Canis lupus familiaris: one gene and its partner. The protein of the gene in region 2 interacts with the protein of the main gene of each other region in a pairwise test. Links are inferred from orthologs where the notes say so. Each region holds a gene or a part of one and is shown on either strand. Other genes may lie near its edges.

Region 1 (11,449 bases), on a different chromosome or scaffold from region 2:
TCACCACCAATCTTGTACACGTCCTGCAGTGGCAGACGCAGGGGCTTATCTGTGGGGCGTGTAGGGGGCAGGATTGTGTCCAGGGCCTCCAGCAGGGACACGCCACTGGCGTTCCCCTCCTTACGCTCCACTTTCCAGCCCTTGAACCACGGCATCTGGATGGGAAGAAGAAGGTATCCATTGGAGGGAGAGACCTCCTGCACCCTCGCTGCCCTACACCATAGCCCCACGGCCTCCCGGGACCCTCCAGGAATCCCGGTGGAGGTACCTGACCTGAGGGGGGCCTGGGGAGCAGGGGAGCACAGACCCGCCCTCTCCACTGCCCAATGTTCAGCTCTTTACCCACGTCCATCACGATGCTGCACGGCTGGTCCCCGCACCCTCCTCACCCCCCAGTTCACACTCCCAACATCACGGAAGCCTTGGAAGAGGTCGGGGAAAAGATGTGGAGCCCAGTCCCGCTTAGTCCCCCTTTCCTGCAGCCCTCGGACCCCCCGGGCAGGGCTGGCACCGGCGCGGGAAGGGCTGGAGGCTGGCCAGCGGCCAGGCCAGAGGCAGAGAGTCCACGCGGCCCCCAGCCACTGTGCCAACCGTCTCCGGGCCCGGCTGGCCCTTCCCTGCCCAGGGCTTCCCGGCAGCAGACCCAGCACCCTCCTGGCATGGAGCCCCCCGGCCCGCTGGCCACGGGCAGGCAGAGGCGAGGGGCCGGCAGCACCGCCCAGCCCGCCCGGTGGGACTGGGTCCTGTGGGGGGCACAGATCAGCAGCCAGCTCCCCGAGCAGCAGGTCAGGAACGGGACACTCTAGGGTAGGGCGCCCTGTCCGCCTCCCGGGAGGGTGGGGAGTGCAGTCCACTCACCCATCGCCACACGACAGCCGTGTGGGACCCTCACCAGGCAAACCCGCAGCCCAGCGAGCCGGGGGCAGGGTCCCCAGCCTCGTCCCCTGACCACAGGGCTCCAGGACAGTCCCCCTGGCTCTTCAAGGGCCCCTCCCCGCCCGCAGCACTGGCCAGAGCAGACGGCCGCCCTCCTGGGCCAGGCGCGTCCTCTGGCCCCACTGTCCAGGCACCTGGCCTCAGGCTCTGAGAATTCCTCACCTCCCCAGTCCCCGCGCCGCAGGCTGCCCGAGCCACAGGCTTCCCACCCGGCCGGTGGAGAGCGAGCCCTCGGCCCCTCCCAGAGCCTAACCTGCCCGCGCCCGCAGAGGCTCCTGGCAAGGTGAGGACGGGCCGGGCAGAGCCCCCAGGCACCGAGCACCGGGCCTCGGACCCGGCGGCACTGCTCCCGCGCTCCCCGCCGGAGGGGGCACCCCTGGCCAGGGAAGGGGCCTGTGCCGGCCTCGCGGGGCCACGAGGCCCGCGCCCCGAGCACGAGCCCCACGCGGAAGCGAGCGCAGCAGGGCGGGGCGTGGATGCCCGGGGGAGCCCGGGTCCTGCCCGCGCCTGGTCCGCGCCCGGGCCCGGCTCTCAGGGAGGGGTCCCCGCAGCCCCGCGCCCACCCGCCCGCCCGCCCGCGGGCACTCACGTTGGGCGAGGGCTCCAGCATGTTGTCCCCGTGCCAGCCCGAGATGGGCACGAACGGCACGGTGGCCGGGTTGTAGCCGATCTTCTTGATGTAGGCGCTGACCTCCTTGACTATCTCGTCGTAGCGCTTCTCGCTGTAGGCCGGCTCCGTGGAGTCCATCTTGTTGACCCCCACGATGAGCTGCTTCACGCCCAGCGTGTAGGCCAGCAGCGCGTGCTCGCGGGTCTGTCCGTTCTTGGAGATGCCCGCCTCGAACTCGCCCACGCCCGCCGCCACGATCAGCACCGCGCAGTCCGCCTGCCCGCAGGTCGCCGTGAGCCCGGGCCCCTCCAGGCGGTCGCCCGGGGGTGGGCCCCAGGGGTCTCGACCAGGGGCAGCAGCAGGGCCTTGTCCATCCGTGCGGACGGCCGTCTATCTGGGTCCGTGTGTCTGTCTGCAACGGCGGCCCTGACCCACAGTCCCTCCCGGCCCCTCTGCCTGGCTGAGGTGACGGGCACCTAATCATTCTCTGGGGGCGGCTCTGTAGCAGGTGGGGTGGGGGGTGCCTGCCCTGGCAAGGAAGCGGAGGGAGCCCAGCCACCCCTCCAGGACCCCAGGGCCCTGGCCCCTCGGGTCCCCTTGGCCCCCCACAGCCCCGCCCACCTGGGATGTGCCGGTGATCATGTTCTTGATGAAGTCACGGTGGCCGGGGGCGTCGATGATGGTGATGTAGTACTTGGTGGTCTCGAACTTCCAGAGGGAGATGTCGATGGTGATGCCACGTTCCCGCTCCGCCTTCAGTTTGTCCAGCACCCAGGCATACTTGAAGGAGCCCTTCCCCATCTGCACAGGTGGGGCATGGCTTAAGGAGGGACCCGGGACTCAGCCCGCTGGCCACGGGTCCCCCTGGGCCACGGGAGCATTCGCAGCAGAGGCCTGGGTGCCAGGCTCCCTCACTCCCCACGGGGCCCTAGGGCTCTGATCGTCTGTAGAATGAGGGAGCCAGGAGCAAGGACCCTGAGGGGCACCCAGACCTCAGCCCTGCCCTGCCCGGGCCCTGCCACCCGGTGTCCCCGGCTCCTGCCCTCTAGATGGTTGCCATTCGGACGTCCTCCAGGAGGTGGCGCAAGGGCCTGGGAGCCAGGCTTGGAGAGAAGCCACCAGGCCTTTAAACCCCTCCCCTGGCTGAGGGCTCCCCTTTTTCCGCGCTGGCCACCCCCAGCCCCGGAGATCCCTGCATGAACCGGAGGCCCACAACGCCACCGTCAAGGTGTCAAGCCCAAAACACAAAACAAAACCCTCTATGACGATTTTTTTTTTAAGGGAAAAAAAGGAAATTGGATGAGGTTGCATGGAAGGGCCTGGCTTTCCAGCTCTTTCTACAGCCAAGGCTTCCAAGTAGCTCTAAGGCTCCACCTGCAGACACCTGTGCCCAGCCCGGCGGAGACCCCCATACCCTGGGCCAGAGCTGAGGCTGCTGCCCAGCAGGACAAAACCCCCGCAGGGCTGTGCATGGACAGGGCTCTGGCCTCCAGGGAGGCTGCCCAGCCAGGAGGGCCACCCAGACAGGGCCCAGAGGGGACCCAGCGAGACCTGAGCCAGGCATCCTGCAAACCCCCACAGCCTCCGCCAGCGCCAACCCCGCATGGAAGGAGGGAGTGACGCAGCTTTTGGGCTCAGGCGCGGAGGGAGGCCGCCCAGCGCAACACCCACACACTCACTCTGAGCAGGGTCAGCCCAGGCCGGCAACTGAGGCCTCCTGGGCCCAGGCCCCAGCCCCTGTCATCCAGGAAACACCCTCACGGCCACCCAGACGGGGCCTCTCCCGGAGCCCAGGGGTGGGGGTAGAGGCTGCAAAGGGCAGACACCCACTCCGTGGTCACTTCCCACCCACCGGCTCGGCCACTTAAGAGAAAGGAGGTCAGTCAACGGGGCCCCCATCATTGTCACGAGGCACAAGAGGCAACCAGGACCCCCCCAAAAGAGCTCCACCCTGGACGAGCAGCCCTCCCCAGCCCAGCCTGAGAAAATGGAGCTGATGGGCTGGGTGCCCATCAATCAGCTATTAATAGCCGCCCTGAGTCCTGGCCCAGCCCTGGGACAAGTGAGGGCATCACCCCCTCAGCCCCGGAGACACAGGAACCCCACGCGGGTTCCAGGGTGCTCCACCCCAACTCGCCAGAGGTTTCCAGAGCCAGAAAGGCTGCCCCCAGGGCACCTCCCTGACCCGGAGGCCCCTCCAGCCGGCCGGCCCTGCCCCACTCCAAGCACATCCCCTGGGAGGCTGCCCCCAGGGCCCCCATCCCTCAGGTACTGGCCCCCAGGCAGGTCCTTTAGGGCTCGTGCCCCCTCGTGCCCCCTCGCCCTGGGGGAGGTCAGCGGAGCCTCATGCCCCAGAGTCACTGAGCGCCAGCCCGGCCACCACGTGGGGCCGACCTCTTAGTGGGCGGGGGAGGGGACAGGCTCACCTCAGCGGCTTCCTTCTCGAACTTCTCAATGGTCCTCTTGTCGATGCCTCCGCACTTGTAGATGAGGTGGCCCGTGGTGGTGGACTTGCCCGAGTCCACGTGGCCAATGACCACAATGTTGATGTGGGTCTTCTCCTTGCCCATGCTGCCCGGGGGGGTGGGGAGGGGCTGGGACGGCCTGGAGCGCTGTGGCTGGGATTCTGGGATTCTGTGGGGTGGGGCGGGGGACAGGTGATGGGGGCTTCAGAGAGAACCCACAGACAGTGCCCAGCACACCCCTGCCTGCAGAAGGAGCGACATTCCCACATCTGTTGGGGCAGGAAGTCCCCTCAGCCCCCCTCAGCCTGGGCCTGGCCCGTTTGGGTCAGCCGGCAAGCCCCCACGGTCCAGTGTCCTCCAAATATCTGGGTGTCGTGCCCACAGGGCCCCCTGAAGCAGGTTAGCCCCCCTCTGGAGAGATGGAGAGACACCAGGCTGGGCGAACCCCATGACCAGTCAGGAGCCTGGTGATGAGTCACCCTGCCCTGCTCTCCAGCGCTCGGCCCTGCCGCCTGCTGCCCCACCAGGAGTCCCGGGCCCTGCGCTGCCCCCCACCCCGCCAGCAGGTGGCCAGTGCCCCCCTGCCCCTCTGGCATCCCCTCACCCCTGCGGCGGCCCCGGGGACAGGCTGGGCCCCAGCTCCCGCAGGGCGGCTTGCACAGCTCGGGCGCTCCCGATCGGATGGGCCGGGGCGGCCGGGGGCAGGGAGGTGGGGTCCCTGCTCCTGAGAGCGGGGAGGAATGTGGCCCCAGCAGCCAAGCTCTGCGAGCGCCGGACGGAGATGCCGGCAGCCCGCTGGGGGAGGGGGCGCCTCTGCTTTTCCCTCTGGTCTCGGCCCGGGGTCACAGCTCCTGCCCCGTCCTGGAGCTCAGGGCAGAAACCTGGGCAGCCCACGAGGGGACAGGTGGCTGGGCCAGGGGAAGCAGGTGCCCACAGCGCACCGTGGGGAGCCGACACCCAGCCCGGGCTCCTGGGCCCGCCGGGGTGGGGCCGGTGCCACTGCCCCCAGGTCTCGCCGCCTCCCCGGCCTCGGGATCCCCAGCTGCTCCCAGCACTGACCACCCTGCCCCAGCCCGCGGGGCCCCGGCCGGTCCCAAGGTCACAGCGGCAGGGCGCTCGCCGCCACCCAGAAGACGGTCCTGCCGCCAGCGCATAAACAAGCGCCGCCGCGGTGCCCCCACCCCACCCCGACCGCCCGAGGGGCCGACCCGGTGCCCGGTGCCTGGTGCTCGGTGTCTGTGCCCGGTGCCTGTGCCCGGTGCCCGGTGCGGGGAGCCGCTGGCCGAAGCCGGAGCAAGCAGCGCAGCGTCGCCAGGTGCCCGCAGCCTCCCTGGGCCCGGCCGCGGGGACAGAGGAAGCCCCGGGAGCGCTGGGGGCGGAGGCGGAGCCCGAGGCCAAGCGTCCTTACCCGGAGCCGAGGTCTCAGCCAGAGGGACAGGCGGCGCGGCGCCGGCGGTTTTATCTCTCCAGGAGGGGGTCCACCTATTGACGGCGCGGGCGCAATGCACTGCGCCCCTGCAGTACGGCAATGCGGTACCGGCGGGGGCGGGGCGGGCGGGGCGGCCGGAGCCGAGGGGTGCGGGATGCGGGCGACAGGATGCGGCAAGGCAGCGAGCGCCCGGCGCGGCGCCAGACCCGGAGGGAGTGCAGGCAGGGAGAGAAAGCGGGTCGGGGCTCGCGGGGGGGCGGGGACCGGCCGAGCCGAGCGAGGGGGGCCGGGGGAGAGCAGCGCAAGAGATGGAGGCCGAGCGGCGCCAGGCTCAGGCCCTCCTGGACGCAGAAAGGGTGGGGACGGCCAGGCCAAAGGCAGTGAAACCTGAAAGGGGGTCCTTGGGGACAGGAAACCGAGGTGGGGACGTGGTAGGAGCAGGTCAGGCCTGCGCCAGGAGTGGGGCTGGGCCCGGGCTCTGGGCCGTGGGCCTGGGGGGCTCGCCCCCGCCCTCCATGCGCTTGGTGCCTGGTGAGCAAATGAAGCTCCCTTGTGCCTCCCAGCGAGGCCCCGGAGCCCTGGGGCCTTCCTCCTTTGGGACCCTGCAATTGCTTGTTTTCAGGGCCCCCATCCCCGTGCGTCGGCCACATGGGTCACCCTGGCATGCCCCCAGCCCGGCCCCACGGCACAGCCGGAGAACGGTGTCTTCAGGGTCCCCTCAGCCGGCCGAGTGGCTCGAGGCTCTGTGGGAGATCCACCTCAACCTCCCTCCCCTGCTGTCCACCCTGGGCCTCTGTCCACGCAAGTCTGTTCCCAGAGCCCACCGACACCCTCCAGGCTGCCCTGGTGCGCGCGAGCGGGGAGGGGTCCCGGGCAGGCAGAGTCCAGGCTCTGGCCTCACTCCTGGCCCCCGTGTGACCAGAGTGCGAAGCCACGGATGGGCCAGTTCTGTAGAAAGTGTGTTGGGGGGGGTCTTGGAGGGTCCAGGGCAGCCCAGGGCAATGGCCAACGTGGGTTCTAAGGAGGGAACCAGGCAGGCCCGTGCTGTGTGAAAGCCCGGGGCGCAGGCCTCTTGGCCCCCCGCACCTCTCCCTGTGGCTCCATCCATCCGAGACCACTCCCACTCCTGTCTTATTCATCTTTGTAATTGCGAGGTCTGGGAGAAGGTCAAGCAAGGTGAGTGGGTGACAGCAGAGGCCCAGTGCCTAGCACCCTCCCCTGGGGCAATGCCTCACAGAGCCCCCGCAGCACAGCAGGAAGTAAAGGGGCCCAGGGCAGTGATTGGGGGCCAAGCTGGTCTCCCCAGCCCATGGGGGGCCTCTTGGGGAGGGGACAGGCCCTCCCACCAGGCCCTGCCCCACAGGACCCACATCTGCAGCCACAGCCGCACTCCTAACCCTTCCGGGCAGGGAGGGGCCCTCAGATGACTCGGGGCACTTCCAAGTGCTGCTGATACCATCAAACAGGAGCCAGGATTAAAAATAAACTGGCAAGCAGTGGAGACCCACCCCACCCCCGCCCAGCTGCCCTCTATATTTGACGTGTCCCTCCTGCCTGAAGGTTAGCAGGGATTTGGAAGACACTGGGATTGGATGAAGCTGGGATGGGCCAAACCATGACTGCAGAGGCCCAGTCCCTGGGGATGTGCACCCCAACTGCCCCAGAGGGACCACCAGCACCCAGGACCCTGGGCTGCCTGCAGACCGGCCCCCCAACAGGTCTGAGCTGCGCCCCTCCACTCCTGGCTCACCCACTGCGGTCAGCCTAGTGGCGACCAAATCACACCGGGGCTGGCCTGTGCCAGGAGGCCACGCTGCCCGGGGCGGCGGCCACTGCTGGTGGAATGCAGCAGCCTCCCCGAAGGTGCTGCGCGCAGCCCCCCCAAGGGGTCTCGGTGGGTCTCCCGAGTGCCTGTGTCCCCAGGCTGTGCCCCATCCGCCCGGGGTGGGCTGCCTGCCGGGGAGCCTGGACCCCACGGCGGCCAGCAGACCCGCAAGCTCACTGGACCGTGCGTAAACAAGGTACGGCGCTGAATAATGACACGCCTGCCGCCTGCCGCCTGCCGCCTGCGCCCGGTGACTCCTGGCCGGGGAGGTCTGCTGAATACCAAATACTACGCAGCCAGCCGGTCGCCAAGCCCCGCGGCTCACCAAGTGCTGGGCGGGGCCGCCGGCCACCGAGCACCCACTGGGCGCGGACCGCGGACCACAGTGCCCAAGGTCACACAGCAAGGAGGGCAGAGCGTGCAGGCTGCAGCCGAGCCAGGCCCGTGTTACATCAGGACAGACGCCAACTGGGTCCCACCTGCACTCCTCTCCTCCCCGGGGCGGGCTCGCCACACCTCCCCCTCCCCTCCTTCTCCTTCTCCCAAATCTGAGCCACCTGTCACGATGGCCCCCATAGCAACCACGGGTAGGGTGGGGGGCGCGAGCCAGGAAGGGGCCGGCCAGCCTGGTGCAGGGGGGCGGGCAGGAGGGGGTGCAGGTCCGCCCCCTCAGGCCCCTCTGGCCGCAGGTGCCCCCAGCCATGAGCGGCCTGGGGAGACGCAGGCAGCCCCCTCTTTGGCTGGCTGAGGCTTCATGAGCCTGGAGAAAGAAGATCCAGCTAAAATTAACCGTTATCAAGCTGTCAGCCTGGAAATAAACGCTGCTCCGATTGGCTGCCGGTGATGTCACCGCCCGGTTAATAATAACCGCGAATGCACACTGACCACCTGTGCATGTGCTGCCCTGTGGGGGCCAGGGCCACCGGTCACCCTGCTAGCTGCTGCCCAGGCGTGGGGGCAGGGTGGGGGCAGGGCTCGGGCGCCCGGCCGCCTTGGGGCGTCTCTGAATGACCTCAGCTCGCGGCCTGGGGTGACAGGACGTCAGTGCTCAGCCTCCCTGCGGGGCCAGTGACATCCAGTGTCCAGCCGTCCTGGGCAGCACGACCCTGGACGGCCTCGGGGACACTCGCTCCCGCTCCCAGCTCCCCGGGGAACCGAGCAGCCCCTGGGGCCGGAAATCGAGTGGCCTCCTCGGCCAGGAGCTTCCGCCAGAGAAGCAAGATCGAGGCCCCAGATCTGAGAAGTTGGTGCTCCCAGGGGGCGGGGCTGGAGGGGCGCGGCCGGCACCCCGACCCCCCAGCGGCCAGCCCTGTGCTCGCCCCGGGGCACTGGTGACCCTGGACAGTCCAGGCTGCCGGGGGAAGCCAGCGTGCCTGGGGGGTAGGGGCCGGGAGGAGGGGCACCGGCCTGGGCCCGCCCAGGAGCTGCGGTACCTGCGCCCTGGCTGTTGCCATGGTGACGGAGCCGCACCGCCGGGAGGAGCCTGGTGACGGTCACCTGGGCCGGGGGGCGGTCCGCCAACACTGGAGCTCCACCCCTGCCCGGCATCCCCCTGCTTCCAGGGAAGGGGCGTGGCGGGCTTGGCCCCCCAGCTACCCGAGAGGCCAGGTCTGTGGCGCCCTCCCGGCAGGTCCATGCGGCTGGGGGCCACCGGAGAGCCCCGGGGGAGGACAGGGGGGAGGGCGAGACGGCCCACTGCCCGCCCGCGGGTGGAGGGAGAGGGCTCGGGCTCAGGGAGGAGCGGCTCCGGCTCGGAGGCCCTGGCGGAGCCAAGCTCCTTAGCAACGGAGCCCAGGTGTTCACCTGGGGAATCGCCGCCTCCAGAGCAGCGGCCCCGGGGGCCTCGGGTTGACTGCTGCGGAGGCTGCGGTGGCGTCACTGTCCCCATGGGTGGTGGGGGCCCAGGAAAGACCCCCTGCACGGCGGCCGGGCTGAGGAGGCCAGCCCTCTCCTGGGGAGGAGGCGGGGACGGGCGCTGCCCTTGAAAATACTTAGGAGTGCAAGGGTCCCCATGTCCCTGACCCGCCCCAAGAAAGAGAACACCCCCTCCTGCCCTCCAAGGTCACCGCGGTCCCGACTGCAGACCCCAGATCGCACTGTCTGCTGGCAAACTTGCCCTGCGTGGTCTTCTGTGTGGCTCCTGCCACCGCCACCTGTTGTCATGCGTCCGAGCTGTTGTGTTTGCTGGTTGGTCCTCCTCACTGCCCCGCGACAGTCCGTTTCCGAATTGGAACGACCGCCAAGCCGCCCGCGCGTCCTGTGGGCTCCGTGTGCCACTCTGCCCGCGGACTGCCCCTCGGCTCTCAGGTCACACTTCAGCACCTGCTCTGTGACGATGGGCAGAGCTGAGCGCTTCCGCTTCGGGTGAGCAGATCCATCCTGTAGGGCAGGCGGTGAGGACGGACTTACAGCTGAGAGCAGATGAGCTGCTACGCGGCCTTTTCCCTCTGGCGATGAGGACATTTACCTATTGCTTTGCACATCTAGTAATCTGGGGCTGGAAGTTGAATGCTCTGGGAACCCTGGGTTCCGTGGTCCTCGCGTGAGGCCTGCTGGTTCTCGTCTTGCAGCCATTTGATCTCGGCTGCAAGCCTGCGGGCTCCTCGCGGCCGGTCTACGGGTAAAACCGGCGGCGCGTCTTCCGAGCCGCGGGGCTGGTTAGATTCGACTTTCAATCTTGGTCCCCCGCTCTCCACGGGGCTCGGCTCTAACTCTTCTTAGATGGTCCTAGAGTAGACATGACCATGGGTTGTCGCCTTTCCCCTCTGGTATTAAAGTGTTTATTTAGGGATCCCTGGTGGCGCAGCGGTTTGGCGCCTGCCTTTGGCCCAGGGCGTGATCCTGGAGACCCGGGATCGAATCCCACATCGGGCCCCCGGTGCATGGAGCCTGCTTCTCCCTCTGCCTGTGTCTCTGCCTCTCTCTCTCTCTCTCTGTGACTATCATGAATAAATAAATAAAAATCTTAAAAAAATAAATAAAAATAAATAAATAAAGTGTTTATTTATTTAAGTCCTCTCTACACTCAACATGGGGCTTGAACTCAAGACCCCGAGATCAAGAGCTGCACTTGATGGGCGACTTTTGTGTTAAAAAAAATAAGTCTGGGGGCACCTGGGTGACTCAGCGGTTGAGCTTTGCCTTCAGCCCAGGGCATGACCCCAGGGTCCCCGGATCGAGTCCCACATCGGGCTCCCTGCATGGAGCCTGCTTCTCCCTCTGCCTGGGTCTCTGCCCCTCTCTCTCTCTCTCTCTCTCTCTCTCTCTCATGAATAAATAAATACAGTATTAAAAAAAAGACTCTGTCTTGGCAGACAGACCTGAGCGAGGGATTCTCCTACCAGCCTTGAAGAGGTGAGCTCCCAGGAGGTGAGAAGGCCGGTGAGGGCCGATGGCAGGAGACCGTGGGCAGCTCCTCCACGCAGAGCGGGCCTCCAGCTGTGCATCAGACAAAGGGGGCCTCAGTCCTACAGCCCCGTGACCTTAGAAGACGACCCCAAGCCTCGGCTCTGACTGCTCACTTTTGAAACCCTGAGCAGAGGACGCAGATCAGTGGTGCCTGGACCTGACCACAGAGCCAGGTACGTACAATAAACGCATGTTTTTAATTTTTTTTAAAGATCTTTATTTATTCATTTGAGAGAGAGAGAGAGACAGAGATAGTGACCGAGAGAATGAGCAAGGACGAGAGGGAGAAGCAGACTCTCCACTGAGCAAGGAGCCCGACTCGCAGCTCGATCCCAGAACCCCGAGATCGTGACCTGAGCCAAAGGCAGGCACTTCACCGAACTGAGCCGCCCACGTGCCCCTAAACGCATGATTTTTAAAGTCGCTGAATCTGTGGGAGGCTGTTGTGCAGCAGTCGGTACCAGTACTCGGGGCACGGTACCGCCCGCCCTGGGACGCCTCCGCTGGCCTCCCCCGCCCTGGCCACAGGCGGGAGCCTCGCACCCGAGCTTCCCCACAGGTCAGCGGCCTGCACGCCAGCCCGGAGCCCCCGTGGGCGGCCCAGCGAGTGTGGGTCGGCGGAGCTCACGTCCCTCCAGCCGCTGCCCGCCTCGAGTGGAGCTCCAGTCGCTCGTGGAAGCGGGGCTGGCCTGCGACCTGCCACTTCTCTGTGCTCGGAAGTGGACGAAGGATCCACACGCATCCATTTTTTTATCTTGAAAAAATTTCACACTTGG
Region 2 (9,920 bases):
TGGACACCTCAGAGGCCTTTCCTAACCGCCCAGTCAAGAACCAGCACAGGCACCCTGGCTCCTTCCCCACCTTCCATATCCCTGGCACATTATTACCATCTGACATGATCTGACTTCTGCTTGACTGTTCAGTAGCTCTGTCCCTCCACCAGAACTGAGCTGCAGGAGGGTGTGTGCTTACATTAGGCCCGTGGTCTCCAAACTTGTCCAATGAGGGAGGGAGGGGCTGAGGGACGGAAGGCTTGCTACACTGGGCAGGATGCAGTCCCTGGGACTGCCCTCCAAAATGAGGGCAGAGGGACACAAACCTGCCACTCCAGTGCCTAACAGTTGTGGGGCAGAGGGAGGAGCGATGAAAGCATAGTGACCAGCCCAGAAGCACCCCTCTGGGAGAGCGGAAAGATGAGCAGGAGTGGGGTGCACAGATCCTGCAAGGCAAGAGGGCTCAGGGCAGGACTTGAGGGTGGAAGGACCTCAGGTTGGCATCAATAGCAGCACTCAACTGAAGATAGTGTAGTGCAGGGGTCCACTGGGTGGGTGTAGTGTCAGGACCAGCCACAAAGAGCCCACAGCCTTGACTGGAGGGGCTGTCGGTACAACACAGAGTGCTGCCCCTGCAGGAGGGGGCCCACTTGTCAGGTTGTGACCTCAGGTAGAGGACACAGCCATGACCAAAATGGAAGCTAGCAGGAAGGGGTAGCCTGGCCTCTTTCTCCTCCCTCCTTCCCTCTCCTCTCACTGTAGGGGAAGTCTCAAGGACATGGCCCAAAAAAGGCTGCTCCAGCTCCTGCCACTGTGCCCTCCTTCCAGCCTACAGGAGGGGAAGAAAGGAAAGGGGCAGGCACCTATCTTTCAAGGAATAAACCAGAGACTGCCCTTAGTGTGTCAGATCACATCTAGAACCGGATGGCATGGCCACAGCTAAATGCATGGGAGGCTGTGAGGCGGGCCAGGTGCCCACAAAACAGGACAGGCTCAGGGTAGGAGGGTATCTGAGGACCAAGTGCATGTGCTGGAGCCTTTCAAGGATGGGAGTGCCAGGGTCAGTATCTGCCTGGGAGATGCCAACAGGGGGTGAGAATGAGCTGGAGGTGAGCCAGAGCCCTGATTGGTGGCTACTGAAGAGGTAACATCAACAAGGTCTGGTGACCCTTGAGGCCCAAGGGATCCAGAGGGAACATGAGGAACACATGCATATCTCCAAAATGCTGCAGATCAGAAAAGCTTACAGAGTATGCCCCACACTGTTCCTCTTAGATCCTCCAGGGAAGAATGAAAATTCACTCTGAAGCTGACCCTAGTTGAGCTGCCTCTCCTAGTGGAGGCTTCCTCGTGGGCGCCCCCATGGAATTTCTACTTGAGCTTTTGGGTGGTTGGTAGTATTGCTCGTTCAGACTGCTCAGGAAACAGGCTCTGAGGGATGGAGTGATTGGCTCAAAGCCAGTGCAGAGTGTGAGCTCCAGCCCAGTGTCTGAGACTGTGCTGCAGGAGACCCCACTCCCTCCCAGAGAAGGAAGGTGGGCGACACAGCCCCAGGGACAGAGCGCCAATGCAATGCTCAGATCTTAAACCACCAGTAGGGCCTGCTGTTGCCTGAGGGTGGCTTCCCGGCTCCAAGGTAGAAGCTCCCAGAAGCCTGAGGGCCCCAGAAGTCCTTTCTTCTGAGGCCTGCCCTTCAGACTTTGCCCAAGTCAGAAATCGTTATGCCTTCAAAATGTTCACTCAGGGATTAAGGCTGCCCCTAGGCCTGGCAAGAGCACACCTGCCCGTATGATGCCAGTGCCCAATGGCAGCCTGGTCCCCAGCGGGGCTCCTCGATCCACTGCCATGAATGGGACATTAAGGCGTATGCGGTTCTCTAGGTGAACGAAAGAACATATGCAAAGCTTTCACTCTCTTTTAATTTTTATTTTTTGCAAGTGGGGAAGATTTTATAGGATGGGTGAAAAAGTATTTTCTATTTTTATTACAGACCTGCCTTGTGTAATGACTGTTTGGGTCAGGACCAGGACCAGGGGGAAGCAAGTAAGGCACTTGTCTTGGACACAATGTAAATGGGGCACCAGGAATCTTAATGAACAAGACCATACTTTTATGTGATTTAAATTAAAAGTAATGGAAAAAAAAAAAAAAAGCATGATGAACCAAATAGCAGCCTTTTAAATAAAGACAGGCTCAGGGATCCTGATGTTTCTCCCAGCTCCAGCACAACTCTGTACACAGCACCTAACTGACCCGGCCCCTGCCCCTACCGCCATGGCTCCCTCTCTCCCTGGGGCCTTGACAAGCCGTCCCTTCCTTACCTCTTAGTACAAAGCCATGTGGTGCTTATTTTGTCTGTGAAAAATGTGCAAATAACTTGAGCTGGGATAGAATGCATGTGTTTCTCAATAGAATTCATGGACCTATTTTTCCATTCAGCAGGAATGAATTAAAGTTGTTACTTGAGGACAGATGTCCTTTTTGATTCTAAATGCAATACAGCCACACTATGAAAACGACACAGAAATCAGATGAAACCCTCAACTCTTGCTCTGGAAGCATGCCGTGTTTCTAAGCCCGGGCTTGCGGGGGGCACCTCAAGGCAGGCTGAACAGCCCCCAGCTTCCCCCTGCATGTACTGAGGCTGCCTGAGCAGCCCCCCGACCACAGGAAGCTTACCATCATTTCCTTCCCCACTGGGCTCACGGGTGCCCTTCCTGTTGTTTCCTGTTTGCAACACCGCCCTGAACACCTTCAGACAGAAGGCCTTTCCCCACCTTAGGCCACATGTAGCTGAAAAAATGAGGAAGGTGTGGTGTAGTTGGCGAATGCCCCTGCAGCCGTGGGGCTGAGGGGACCACGGTCCTGGGGGTGGTGACTCTCCAGATCCACTGCCTCCCTAGCAGGTGCACCTCACTGCCACTCTCTCGGTGACCTGCTAAGGTACCACTTCCAGAGGACTCGCTCTTAAACCGCCTCACTTAGGTTTTTACTTACAATCTATTCTAAAACAAGCACGATTTCAAATAACAGCTGTAAAAAAAAAAAGAGAGAGATGGGTTTCTATAGAGTTCACTGTTGTCCCCAGTATCTATCTTAAAAAAAGAAAAAGCATCATAATTTTTTTAAAAACCCTTTTTTAATGTTTAAACCTCTTACTATATATACCTTGCCTCCCGTGGAGTTAGTGTGTGTGGCTCTTAGGCCACCAGCCTGGCCCCACCCAGGAAGTCTGGGTGCCCAAGGCAAGCAGTGACCTTGCAAAGTTGCAAGTCAGCCCCTGCCTCGCCCTCCTCACCTTCCTCACCTTCCTTGCCCCTCCCTCCACACCTTGGGTGGAGCCCAGCATTTCACAAATACCAGCTTACTGCGCCCCCTGCCCCCACCCAGGCCAGTGCAGGGCCCTTCACAAGTAGCCGGAGCTCACTTTTAATGCCCCAAGCCAAAAGGGAGGCACTATCAGAGTCACCCCAATTTATAGCTGGGTAAACCAAGGCATGGAGCTGTGACCAGGGAGGAAAAGGCAGAGCTGGGGTAGGAACTCTGGTCCCGGGGTGGCTTGGGCTCTGGCCATGATGACCTCCCTGGGTCTCGTTCCGAGGCTCTTCAGGCTCCCAGGCCCATGCCCAGACCCTGCCCTCCACCCAGCAGGCCCTGCCGTCCACGTCCCCTTCCCCCACCCCCATGCCAATCACCTCCCTGCCTGCTGCTACTTTGTTCACCCATCCCACCTTACTGCTTCCCCCATGGGAGCCACTTGCCAGACCAACATGGAGGACATGCAGAGGGGAAAAGGAGATCCCAGAAACTCTAGAACTGATGAACATGTAAGGCACAGACGGCAGGACACCCAGTGCTGTTCCTAGGGCAGAATGGGACAGGCCTCAGACGCTTGCTGCCTGGGCCTCAGGTCGGGGGACAGCCTATAGGGCATCCGGAGATGGCCACCTAACATTCCTGATAATGTCATAGCTCCCGTGGCAGAGGCCAGGAGGCCTCCCCAGGAAGGAGGCTGGCCGGGGGCTGAGAGAAGACAAGAGGTCAGTCCTCAGCTGCTCCTGGCACGAGACTCTCCATGGCCAGCCGCCAGTGGGCTGAGGAGTGGAGGGAGCCAGGCTAGGGCCAGCTGGGCTCACTGGGCCCCCTCCTACCCTCCACTCCCACTCACTCCTCCCTGGCCCTCCCCCTGGAGCTGCAGAGCAAGCTGCTGCCACAGGGCTGACCAGGGCCTCTCCCCCTGGCCCTGCCAACAGCCCAGCCTGGGTCTTCGCAGCCATAAAACGCAGGTGCTGGTGGGGAGGCTCCACCGCTAGATGAACGGCCTCTGGTGTGCAGGGGGTGCTCATAAATGAGTGCTAGAAATATGTCTGGCTCAGAAGCCAGTCCTTGCCCGGTCTGAGGAGGAACGGCCTCTATGGTGGTTGGGTCAGCCTCCCACTGAACCTCCCCCAGGACCACTGAGGGCAGGTGGGTGTGTCGGACTTCACATGGCAAAAGCTGTGCTGGAGGGGAAGGGGGAGAGTCCCACGGCTGGAGAGGCTGGGCCCAGCTGGGGAGTCTCAAGGCCCCTACTCAGAACCCCCACCACACCCAGCCCCCGAGGAGCCCCTGCTGGGCACCGATGGATAAGGGGCTCCGAATCTAGAGCTCTTCCCTGGCCCCCTGCACCTGCACCCCGCCCCAGACACAGGCTCAGGCTCTCACAGTGAATTCAAGCTTTATTGCCACACAAAGACTCTTCTGCTCCCCATGGGCCAGCTCTGTGCCTGGGAGAAGCCTGCTTGCTGGGCTTGGCTTGGAAGCAAACAAGCCAGGGCCAGGAGAACGGGGGTGTGGAGGGGCTCGGGGAAGGGAGGTCCTAAGAGACCCCCACCCCAGGTGTCCCTGAGTGGTGCTCAGCCCCAGGGCCTCGGGGGGCTGGTTTGTGTTGGGAGGGGGCTCATCCTGACCCTCTCCTGGGGCCCCAGGCACGCTGGGGGAGGGGCACCCCACAGAGCCCCCTCAGCCCACCAGGACACCCTCCTCCAGGGAGCAAGGAACATGCGTGCAAGCACACACACAGCTGCCCGCCCGTGCCACACGCCGACAGTCAGCAGTCCAGGCCAATAGACACCAGCAGGTCCTCAAGTGCTCGTAGCCGCTGCTGCGCCTCCTCGATGGCACTGTAGGTCTGCACCGTGCTGGCCACATGGAAGCGGATGTCGTCCACCAGCGGGATGGAGTCCGTCTCCTGCCGGGCAGCCACGGCCGCCGCCTCCTCCCGCACGGCCTCCACGAAGTCCTCCCGCTCCACCAGCTGTGGACAGGCCAGCTCAGAGCACGCCGGCCGGCTGCCCTCAGCCTGCCCCACCCACCACGGCTGCCCCAGGCCCACCTTCTCGATGACCTTGGCCATGTACTCAGTGCACTGGTCCTCGAGGCGCGCCAAACGGAACAGCTTGGCCACGCGCCACACCCCCACCACGTTGTCCTCATCCAGCAGCTGGGCCAGGCTGCGGCCACAGAGCCGCTTCAGGCCAGGCAACAGGTACATGTCGGCCACGCTCAGCACATCGTAGGCCGCCTCGGGGGGCAGCTGCAGTGAACGAAGGGGTTAGGGGAGGATGAGCCGCAAGGTCACCGGGGACCACTCGGGGCCCTAGCAGCAAGGCTGGGAGCTATTAGGGAGATGGTGGAGGCTGCAGGTAGGGCAGGAGCTCCCTCTCAGGCCTCAGGGTGACAGGCCTCACCTGTCCCGATGGTCACACCCCCTAGCCCAGCCAGATTGCTGCAGGCATCCGTGGGACCAGAGAGCTTGGCAGAGACGGGTTCCCACACCTTAGGCCCTTAACCAGGAGAGAGAAGCTGAGCTGTGAAGCACACAGACCCACACTCTGAAATCCTAGCTGTGGGACCCAGGCAAGTCACTTCACTTCTGTGTGCCTCAGTTTCCTCTCTGGGCAGTACAACCATGCCTGCCTCTGTTGTCAGAAAACAGAAGATGCTTTTCCAAACTGAGGCAGGAACCCCCCCCCCCCCAAGGCAGCAGAGTAACTCTTTACCGGCTCCCTTCCACCTACACCTGGACCCTGTGCTCGGAGAGACCACAGGTTCAGGCTCGGCTCCCATCCAGACTTTGGACGGGCAGAGGGAGAGGCTGGAGACAGGGCAGGCAGGACCTCTTCGAGCACATCCAAGCCACACGCACTGCTTACTCAGGCTGGGCTCCACCTGTGACACACATCCATCTGCACAAGACCTTAAAAGACCACAACTATCACCATCCCCACTTTCTAGAAGGGGAAGACTAAGGCACAGAGCCACTGAGGAACCAGCCTAGGGTCACACAGCTTGTGAGCAGCTAACCCAGCGTCAAACCAGGTTAGGAGCCCAAGTCCACACTTACAGCCATTACATACTGTCCTCAATGGCAAAGCTCCCGCAGGAGTGTGGCAGGGAGCGGGGGAACATGGACCCCGGGTGGCAGGGGCCAGAGCTGAGCTATGCTGCAGGAGGAATGGAGGCCGGGAAGGGTGCCCACGTAGAGAGGCTGCTAGGCTTACAAATGGGGACCATGTGAGGTGAACACAGGCTGACATCACAGCCCAGCTTGTCCCCCAGGCCCCACTCCTGACAGAGGCCACACAGCCCCACCTGCCTGCTTGGCAAGTACGGCCACTAAGTGAGTTCTCTCCTGGGCCACAGGAGAACGGTGGGTGTGGCCTCCACCTGGCCTATGACAAAGGAAACAGTGTGTTTCATTTTATTCTTCCTCCTAAGCTGTGAGTCAGCCTGCACCCCAATATCCAATATCCAGATGCACAGGACACCTCCTCAGGTGCTGTGGACCAGGTCCAGCCCACTCTGTGTTTCGTAATGAATACAGAGTGGGACACAGCCATACCCACTCATTTCTGCACGATGTTGACACCTAGTCCTCAGAGAAGGCTTGCTGACTGCCCCCAGGCCATGTCAGGGTGACAAGATGGAGGGGATAACCTGGGTCCCCGCAGGTCACCTGTCCTGGCGCACTCACTTCAGACGTGAAGGAGAGCAAACATCTCTCTCCTTTATGTGATTGTATTTGGGGGGGGTCTCTTTATCATGGGGCCTTTTACACACACACACACACACACAGCACACCTTCGGCAGCAGTTACTGCTGCCCATGTCACCCATGCTCTGAGGATGCTCTGGGCCAGTTGAAGACCCAGGGAAGCAAAAGCACAGGAGACAGAAATCCAGAACCCTGGAAATGGACAGCAATCCAGAGGCAGGAGGCGCGGCGCTCCCCACTGTTGTGGTAATTCAGGGTTACTCTCCCTACCCACCCTCCAACCGAGGACCTGGGGACCCCAGGTAGCTCATATTAAATCCCAAGTGTCATGTGCTCATGATGTGGCTCTTGCCACTCATTCCTGTTCTGGAACCAACCAAGGTCCCCTCTGCCTGAAAGAAAAACCCAAACGCGTCCCATGCTTCCTCTCCAACCTCAGAGCAGAGCAGACCAGCCCCACAGAGCAGAGCAGGACACAGGCACTCCCTTGAAGCCCCGGAGCGACCCGGCTGCACACCTGTCCCGATGGTCACACCCCCTAGCCCAGCGCACACAGCCTGCTCGAGCTCCGCACCTCTGTGTGGTCACTATAGATGTAGTAGAGCACGTGGGTGAAGATGTCAGGCGAGATGCCATGGAGAGTGATGGCCAGGAGGCCGCCTGAGGCCTCCAGCTCCTCGTTCTCTCGGAAGTGGTCGTCCAGCAGGGCCCGGAAGTAGTCGCTGCGGCCGCAGAAGAAGGCCTGGGGGAGGCTGGGCTAAGGAAGGGTGGGGGCCAGTGCCTGTCCCCAGAGCTGGCCGGGGACATAAGGCAAGGGGGCGGGGATGGGGGGGCGGTAAGGGACGGCACCTTGTGGCAGAGAAAGCTGCAACCTTCCACCCGGAAGCAGACATCAGGACAGCTGTTGAAGCCGTCGGGGCAAGGGAAGGGCAGCTCCCCGAGATCACCCTGGGAGATGAAGGAAGAGACACCATTGGAGCAGGTGGGACACAGGAGAGCAGCCAGTCCTAGCCACAGGTCTAGTCTAGCTCGATCTGGAGGGATGGCCTGCAGCCCCATTTGCAAATTGAAGTGTGACAACGACCCAAGTAAAGTGGGCTCAGAGAAAGGGACTGGCTCCAGCCCAAGGATGGAGCCAGGCGCGGGGCTTGTCTACCATGGCCACGTCCACATGGGGCCCCACCCTCCTTGTGCTTACACGGAGCTCCGGGGGCAGGGCGCAGTCGGCCAGCAGGGCCATGTCCTCCCGAAGCCGGGGATCTGCCGGCGGGGGCTCGATGGTCAGCACCTTCACACACGTGCCTGGCTTGGAAGCCACTGTGGAGGGGACAATACAGCTGCAGGGCCCGGGGGCTGCTGGTTCCTGCCCGACACCCTGACCCCAAGCCTGGACTCACCGAACTCAGACACTTTCTCACACTTGGTCTCCAGGTCGCTGAGCAGGTCCCACAGTTGGCACTGCTTGGCCAGGCGCTCACAGTCACTAACATGCTCCACGCCGACGTCCAGGCGGCCTAGGGGAGACACAGGAAGCTCAGGGCCCGAGAGGAGCTCTCTGTGGTCCCCAGCACCAAGGCTCCCAGATCTCCTTCCTGCCTTGGTTTGCCCCCTCAAGAGCCACTGCCTGACTTCCATAGGCCCCAGGACAGATGGAAGGGGACTTGGTGTGTAGGTGGGACAAGCTCCTCCTGAGTAGACCCTCCAGCTTGCTGTTTCCCAGCCCACCCAGGAGGCAGCTAGAACAGCCCCACGCTGCAGGGCACAAGTTCCAGGAGGTACAAGGGGGGCCCAAGGCCCCCGTTTCTGCTGGACAGAAACCCCCTCCCTGCCAGTGTCCCGCAGGCTCAGAGATTCACCTGTGTACAGGTACTGCAGCAGGGCCCCAAAGGCCACGGGGTTGATCTGCAGGCAGGGAGACCAGGAGGGAAGGTCAGAGGCGGCCACCCAGCATAAGCTCCCTGCTGTCCCTCCACCTGCCCCTGGGAGGGACACACCAGTGGATGCCTAAGGACCACGACATTCTTGCCCTTCCATTTGGTGTCCAGCATGTTGGCAAAGTAGGCACTGCGTGCACCCAGCACACAGCGATGTGCCCGGAAGGGCTTCCCGTGCACCACAAAGACCACGTCACTATGGATGCCCTGCTCCAGGAGCCTGGGGAGGAGCAAGCGGAGCAGGTGTTCAGCAGGCCCTTCCCCCAACCCTGCAGGAGGGTCCTCAGCCCTACCCCATGCACACCCAGCCCTGCACCCCATCTCACCGCTGCAGGAAGTCATCGTAGTAGTCCCGCCTCCTGCAGGAGGCTGTCACCTGCTTGTAATCGCGCAGGGCCCGGCGGATGGGGTCGCTCAGTGCCCCGTAGAGGCAGCGCTCCCCATCAAAGGTGTTGGCTTCACAGCGGGCTCCTGGGGGCAGCAGGGCTCGCCAGTCAGCAGGCTCGGGAACATGTACACTGCGGCAGGGACAGGGTCTGGGGGGAAATCCTAATCTCTCCCCCTGCAACCTTCCCACGTGTAGGGCCCAGCCCTGGACTTCGGAGCGCCTGCCAAATTATCCTGGGCCCACTCTGACACCAGCATCTTCTCTGCCAGGGCCTGGGCACATGGGCATGTCTTGGTACCACAGACCACAAACAGAGCAGGCTCAGAGACCACTCTGCTCTAGGCCCCGGACACAGCCATAAACACACATCCCAGTCCTGACTAACCGATCCTCCAGTGTGGCGGTGGACAATGAACATGTTAACAAATGATGTCAGGTGCTATGAAGAAAAAGAAAGCAAGGCAAAGTGGTTGTGGCTGCCACACAGGGAGGCCAAAGAAGGTCACTGTGTCAGTGACAACACACAGAGACCTGAATGGAATGAGGAAGTCAGCCATGCAAAGATCTGAGAAACAGCAATG

What was found.
Region 1: the proteins of ABTB1 (region 2) and EEF1A2 interact in binary tests that used the Homo sapiens proteins (3 or more experiments, as listed by UniProt). The two-hybrid records come from large-scale screens. The link is inferred for Canis lupus familiaris from reciprocal best matches to the Homo sapiens genes ABTB1 and EEF1A2.

Annotation. Positions count from the first base shown.
Region 1 is NC_049245.1:47,948,083-47,959,531, forward strand, and holds the start of EEF1A2 (elongation factor 1-alpha 2), read right to left. Parts: upstream 5,643-11,449; 5' UTR 5,420-5,642; intron 5,245-5,419; exon of another isoform or gene 5,220-5,244; intron 4,181-5,219; 5' UTR 4,117-4,180; coding exon 3,973-4,116; intron 2,348-3,972; coding exon 2,168-2,347; intron 1,823-2,167; coding exon 1,526-1,822; intron 156-1,525; coding exon 5-155; intron 1-4. UniProt on the Homo sapiens protein: Translation elongation factor that catalyzes the GTP-dependent binding of aminoacyl-tRNA (aa-tRNA) to the A-site of ribosomes during the elongation phase of protein synthesis.
Region 2 is NC_049241.1:1,785,320-1,795,239, reverse strand, and holds the end of ABTB1 (ankyrin repeat and BTB/POZ domain-containing protein 1), read right to left. Parts: intron 9,423-9,920; coding exon 9,278-9,422; intron 9,172-9,277; coding exon 9,012-9,171; intron 8,920-9,011; coding exon 8,874-8,919; intron 8,532-8,873; coding exon 8,415-8,531; intron 8,335-8,414; coding exon 8,216-8,334; intron 7,966-8,215; coding exon 7,867-7,965; intron 7,775-7,866; coding exon 7,592-7,774; intron 5,558-7,591; coding exon 5,357-5,557; intron 5,279-5,356; coding exon 5,072-5,278; 3' UTR 4,683-5,071; downstream 1-4,682. UniProt on the Homo sapiens protein: May act as a mediator of the PTEN growth-suppressive signaling pathway. May play a role in developmental processes.